2 linked regions of the Ovis aries genome follow. The protein of the gene in region 2 interacts with the protein of the main gene of each other region in a pairwise test. Links are inferred from orthologs where the notes say so. Each region holds a gene or a part of one and is shown on either strand. Other genes may lie near its edges.

Region 1 (3,824 bases), on a different chromosome or scaffold from region 2:
ACTACTGCTAAGCTCCAATACTTTGGCTACCTGATGGGAACAGCCAACTCGTTAGAAAAGACCCTGCCTGATGCTGGGAGAGAGTGAAAGCAGGAGAAGGGGGCACCAGACGATGACATGGTTGGATGGCATCACTGACTCAATGCACGTGAGTTTGAGCAAACTCCAGGAGACAGTGAAGGACAGGGAAGCCTAGAGTGCTGCAGTCCATGGGGTTGCGAACTCGGACATAACCTGGCAACTGAACAACAAAACACTATACCCACATTTTACAGATGAAGAACCATGATCATGTAAGTAAAAAATTTTGCCTACTTGATAGCAAAGCAGCAGAATTCTGGTTTTCTGCCTCCCCAGTTAATATACACTGCACCAAACTCTGTGGCCTCTGGACTAAACCCACAATTAGGAACAGATCATAACAGTGATCTGTACTTTGCCTTTTCATTAGCATTTCTTCTCATTCTCTTTCAAACTATTATCAAATCACTCTAATATCACTTTCACAATTACCACCCTCTGCCAAATATTTTCAACAGCTTCCCAATTCCTAAAAGAGCAAACTCCATAACACACAATGACCACAACTTCAAATTCCTTACATTAGAAAAAGCACAACACTAGAAGTGGAAGACCTGAGTCACAAATCCTACTCAAAAACCAGGTATAAGACAGAGCTCCTTCTTCATCTAAAGCATTCAGATAGTTTGACTAGATCTCTAAGACCCTGCCTTTGCAATGTATCTCTAACTCCATTTAGGACTCCACACTATTGTCAAGTTATGCTATACATCAGCCCTAAAACAAACATGCGTGTATTCTATTCTAAACAGCTTTTCATACCCCCATTTCAAAATGACTACCCAGTACCCTTGCTTGTATTGTCTCACCCTTTAAGATTTAATTTAGGTCCCAATTAAAACTTTCTAACTGGTACTCAAGCCATAATGCTATCTAACCCCAAATTCCTCTGAATTTCTCTGGAACTCATTTCTATTAATTCATTTGGTGCTTAGACAAGGTAACAATTACCTCTCTGATGTTGAAACTATCCTCAATATTGTGATGGTATACTGAAACTTGATAACTAGTAATATATATGCCAAATTATTTCATTTTAAATTTTAATTAACACATCTGAACAAAAAAAGTCATCCTTGAGAACTGTATCACTGATACCTAACTTTTTAAATCAAGCTACATGAGTACTTATGTATGTATGTTAACTTAAGAAAGTTTACAGGGAGGTCCCTAGTGGTCTAGTGGTTAGGATTAATGCTTTCACTATTGTGGGCTGGGTTCGCTCCCAGGTCGGGAAACAGATCCCACAGCCCTCCCCCCGCTCCCCGCCGAAGAGATTTACAGAAAATCTGAAGCCATGGAAAATAAATAGCACTCAATTTTCAGAGAAACACATGCTACAATATGGATGTACCTTGAAAGTATTACTGAAAGTAGACTGGTGGTTACCCAGGAAAGAGAGTAACAATGAGTAACTGTAAATGACCATGGGGTTTCTTTATGGAGTGAAAGAAATGTTCTGACTGTGGTGACAGCTACACAACTTCAAATACACCCAAAATTAACGAACCGAGTAAAAAAATTAAGAGTGTATATAAATTATATCTCGATGAAGTTGTTAAAAAAGAAATCAATTTTCCATGTAAAATCAAAATTTTGGGTAGAGAAAAAAGTAAAAACACCGACCTGTGTTCTGCTTCAAGTGAACTAGAAAGAACATCAGTCTGTGGGAAGGTTGAAGACCGAATGATCTGTTGGGAAATTACTGAGGCATTGCCATTCTCTTGTGGAATTTCATTTTCATCGAAGTTTCGGTTTATATCCCTTTCTTGGTGAGTACTGTTGCTGTTATGCAAATTAAATGAGTCGTCATCCTGATTTTTGAAGAGTTAAAAAAAAAATTAGAGAATAGTTATTAAAAAAGGAAACTTTAATAGATCCTGGTTAGATCTTCATGGATAAAACATAACTGTGATGTTTATATAATCATGTAGAAAACAGTTTCATAAGATGTAAAACTAAGTTGTGAAGGGAACTTACTAACTTCAAGTATTCACATCTATTCAACCAAAAATTAAAAGGACAAAGGCAGGCAAGATGGGGAAAACCAAAAGTACAAATATGAACAGGAATCTTTTAAATTTCATTTTTGAACAGCAACTAGAGTAAGAAAACTCTATTCAGAAAGGAATTCATTATTTATGCAAATAGCTAACTAGCCTTGCTTTCAGAAATATGAAAATATTCGAAGATTCTAAATAATATCTGTCCAACTATTCCAATGACATGCTAATGTCAAGCCCAAGAATTACACTACACGTTCAATTACCTTTTCTGAGCCCACATGGCTTTCATCTTCATGTTCCTCTTCCACTCTGTCCCTTTTCAATGCTTTCAAAAACTCACTCTTTTTATCTGTGCGCATTCGTGTCAGTTTGGTTAGACGAGGCTGCTGATTAAGTTTGTCAACAGGTGAAGAAGAATTTGAGCGATTACACTAGGAAAAAAATTTAGAATGTTGATAAATACATAGAGAACTAATATCAACATAAAGTTCACAACTATAATGACTTTCTATTTCACTTTCTTCACAATATACAACAAAATTGATTTTAAATTCTATTTTCTACTATCATTATTTTTAATCTATCTCACTGAATGATCTTTCTTATCCGAGAAACAAAGTCTGATAATACTAAGATCTATGATTCTAAATTAGGAGTTTTAAATATTATTTTATAAAATGGATCCTGAAATTGTTTAAATATTTATATATAGATATTTTTTAAAGCAGTTTTTAAAACTGTGTTCCACAGAGTTCGAAGGTTCTATGAACTAGTATAATTATTTATGCACAGGTACACTAAGGGTTTATCATATAGAATTTCACAAGGGAAGTTTTGTGGAAGAGCAGAGGAGCGTGGTAAAGGGACATGTACTGGAGTCTTTTTATTTTTCATATATTGAGAGTGGACTACAGAAGGAAAAAGAATGTTGGAATTCTGTGTCACAGGAATTTTAAGCCTTGGGAATAAATCAAAATGCTTAACTTAGCAATAACATCTGCAGACTATAATGAATTGAAGCCACAATTAACCAGCTGGGAATGCTGGTCCTTCTAGCACAGCTCTAAAATCCTATGACTGAGAACTAGTCAATGAGGGGGTTATAATATTCCAATATAGTACCCAGAACAATCTCAGTTATTATAATATAGTCACAAGTGTCTTTTGTCCCTGAACTGGTCAGGGAAGTCCCTCATCTAGAAGTTTCACAAAGCTGGCCAAATGAGAAAGAAATGTGTAAGCTATTAAGTATTCAAAGTCAGTAACCATGCATCTTTCTCTCTTCTTCCTCCTCTCCGTCCTGAGTGTTAATACTAAGAAAATGTCCATCATCCCCAAAAGAAGAGTATGTAAATCCTGATTTTTTAGTCAAGGTTTAATCCTATATCATAGCATAACTTTATGACAAAAGTAAAAACATCTGTTTTCATAATTCTTTTCTTAAAAATTACTCTTTCTGGGGCTTCCCTGGTGGCTCAGTGGTAAAGAACCTGCCTGCCAAACAGGAGACATGGGTTCAATCTCTGGGTCAGTAAGATCCCCTGGAAGAGGAAATGGCAAACCACTCCAATATCTTTGCCAGGGAAATCCCATGGACAGAGGAGTCTGGTGGGCTACATCTATGGGGTCACAAAGAGTTGGACACAGACTTAGCAGGAGACACAGGTTCCACCCCTGATCCAGAAGATTCCACATGCTGAGGAGCAACTCAACTTGTGCACCACAACTACTGAACCT
Region 2 (3,221 bases):
GAACGGTGGGCGACAGAAGGCTGGTTGGCCATGTACTGGGGACGGCTCTGGGCCTTTTGCTGTGAACAGTCTTCTTCAGCCATAGCCAGGGTACACTATGCCGTCCCTCCTGGACCTGAGCAGGGCCAAGTTGCCAGAGCAGGTAGCCGCCGGCATCCTCCTCACCTTCCCGAAGTGGGTATGTGCACAGGCAGCAAGCAAGCTACTGGCCGAGCTGACCACTGGCAGGCAAGGGCAGACTCTCTCAGTTGCCCACTGGCCTGGATCTGGGCAGGGTACCCTGCCAGTCTCCCTTGTTAGGATCCTCATCCACCTAAGGATGGGGCTGCAGATGAACTTAAGCTTCTTTTGGGGAGAATACAATACTTTTCATTAAAAATAAAATAAAATGTGCTCTTGTTGGGCCCCCTGGCCTTGACAGGTGAGATAGTAATGGGGCCATGACTGCCTCCAATGAGGTTTGGGCAGGACTTGGGGGTATCCACCTGCCTTGGGAAACCCCAGCCTAGGAGGCAAGAAAGGTGGCCAGAGCCTGTTCCCAGGTCACATGGCTGCTCACTGTGATAGGAAGGAGCTGGGGGCACATGGGAGGGGCTGGGGCGGAGGTGCCAGAGCCTTGGAGCCGTTCTCACCGCTGATGGTGGCAGCCATGTGCCAGGCAAGCTGAGGCTTCTTGTTACAGGGGTCAGTGTCCTGCAAAGGCCAGCCTGGGGCTCCCCGCCGGAAAAGAGAGCAGGAGCTGGAGGGGGCGGGACTCATGGGTGGGCTGTGCTGAGTCAGGAAAAAACACTCATGTGGCTGCCACCACCTCTAAAACGTAAGTAAGTCTGTTTCTTTAATTGTGTATGTGTGTTTATACTCCTCTTTATTAGTGGATAAATACTAGAAAATCATCTCTCGGAAGGTGCGATCAGGGACGGGCCCAGCTTGCCCAGCCTACTGGGGGCGGGCCCTTCAGGGGTCCCTGGTCGGGTGTGCAGGGTGAGGCTGTCCCTCCAGGGCTCATACACCAGCGTGTAGCTCTCCGCCCTCTTGACAGTGAACTTGTAGGCACGGTTGGGCAACAGGTTTCGGATGTCAAAGGCGCAGGCGGCCACGGGGATAATGCCACACTGCATGCACTCCTGCTGTGTCCGTGGGTCCAGCAGCTTGTAGCGCAGCTCAAACTGCTCTGGCACAGCCTGCTGGATGGTGACAAACCAGCGCAGGCTGACCCAGTCCTGGTGGGCCACCGACTCCTTGCGGTCAAACATGACGGGCATCTTGGTGCTCAGCATGAGCCGGATGTGGGGAATCTTGGTGGCGCCAATGTCAGACACTAGGCGGTGCTTGACGTGTAGGCGCCCTGGCACCATCATGGCCAGGAAGCTGTCCATGACAGCCGACAGGTCCGCCAGGCGCTGCTCCACGAGCCCCCAGCCTGCCAGGAAGGGCCGAGGGTCTGGCGACTCGAGCAGGGCATCCAGCTCGGAGCGGCCATGGTCCAGCTGCTCCAGCAGGTCCCCAAGCAGCAGGAGCTGGATCTTGGTCTGGGCAGCGCCCACCTTCTTCATGCGCTGGAACTTCCATGGGTCAATGAGCTGGAACATGGTGGTGGGCAGCACCAGTGGGTTCTGGTCGCCCAGAGCCAGGTGCTTGGGGAGGATCTCAATGTAGTAGGAGCACTTCTTCAGGAGCTCCATGCGGGCATGGTGGCGCTTGAGCAAGTGGGGGCTCAGGTCTGAGGTCAGGAACTCTTGCAGAGTGTTGCGGCGCTCCACATAGGTTCGCCAAGCCTCGGGCTCCAGCAGCTGCCCATCCTCGGCCTCCTCTACCTCCTCCTGTTCCAGGAAGGACTGGGGACTGTCCAGCTTCATTTTGTCCAGGCCCAGGCCTGTCACCTGGAAGTTCATGGTCTAGGAGCAGGGGGCGGAGGGCAGGACGTGAACGGAATGCTCAGACTGGCCTCTGCCGCCCACCCGGGGCCCACTCAGGGCAGTGTTTGTGTGTGACTTCAGTCCCACTGGCCCCCATGCTGGGCTCTCTGGCCTCTGGGGGTGGGGGTGGGAGCGGGAAGAGGCTTGTGAGGAGGGCTCATCTCTCTGGACAGAGGCTGCTTGGAGGGCCAGGTGGGCAGGCTGCAGATCTGGATAAAAGTGGACATTGTAGGGCCGACACTCTACTGATGGTCTTTTGTGATGACACAGGGAAGGGCTGAGACAGGGGCACTGGGCCTGTGCTTTGGAAAATCCAGCCACTGCCTAGCTGTGTAGCCCCATCTGGAATGGGGTTTACACTGCTCCTCTGGAGCTGTCGACAGGATTCAGAGTGATCCTGTCTGAGCATCACCAGACCCCAGCTGGGGACCCCACTGTCCTGCAGACTGTCCACACCCCACTGCAGGTGCAGGGCAGAGGCCCAGGGCCAGCCCAGAAGGCAAGGTGGCCTCAGCTCTGAGGAGTAATCATGCCTGTTCCTCATTACGGAGCCTCCTGAGCCCATAAGAAAAGCCCCTGATCGGTGCCCCTGCTCACAGATGGGGTGCCTGAGCCCAGAACACTTGGTAGTTTGCTCTCAATCCAGGCTTTGAGCCCAGTGTAGACCCCAGAGTCTATCTCCTTCTGCACCCCTCCTCCACCTAGGTTCCCCTCTGTAGGAGGGTCCAGAGCGCCCCAGAGCTGGGCATAGCTGTGCTCCCAAGCCTGGCAGGTCCTGACCACAAGGCTGGGGCTCCTTGGAGAAAGGGGGTCAGCATTCCTGGCTGCTGCCCCAGGTCCCAGCCACCCCCAAGGACAGTGAGACAGACCCCGTGGTTTCACTGGGAGGTCTGAGGTTGTCCAGCACCCAGAAAGTTGGATGAGTTACAAACGGGAGCTGAGAGGCTGAGTGAGAGGCCCAAGGGGCAGAGTGAGGTTGGGACCCAAGTCGGTCTCCCTCCCCAGATGCCAGGACCTTCCTGGGACAGAGGCGGCAGACCCAACACTGGGCACAGCAGCACCAGTGTCTGGGCTGAGGTGCAACAGACCAGGACTAGGATTGCTGGCCTGCATCCTTCAGTAGCCCAGTAGCCCAAGGTTGGGACAGATTCAAGCCGCCTCTGGAGGGAGCTTTAGCTCCAGGTAGGACTACAGGTCAGAGGTGCTTCCAGACGGCCCCAGTTTCTCCACGGAAAAAGCCAGGAGAGGTTGCTGTTAAACTCAGGAAAAGAAGCTGCCTGCCCTGGCCCGCTACCCAGACCTACA

Evidence for each region.
Region 1: the proteins of FNDC11 (region 2) and GPBP1 interact in binary tests that used the Homo sapiens proteins (3 or more experiments, as listed by UniProt). The link is inferred for Ovis aries from reciprocal best matches to the Homo sapiens genes FNDC11 and GPBP1.

What each region holds. Positions count from the first base shown.
Region 1 is NC_056069.1:22,217,023-22,220,846, forward strand, and holds part of GPBP1 (vasculin), read right to left. Parts: intron 2,519-3,824; coding exon 2,351-2,518; intron 1,896-2,350; coding exon 1,708-1,895; intron 1-1,707. UniProt on the Homo sapiens protein: Functions as a GC-rich promoter-specific transactivating transcription factor.
Region 2 is NC_056066.1:53,817,493-53,820,713, forward strand, and holds FNDC11 (fibronectin type III domain-containing protein 11), read right to left. Parts: upstream 1,893-3,221; coding exon 891-1,892; 3' UTR 775-890; downstream 1-774.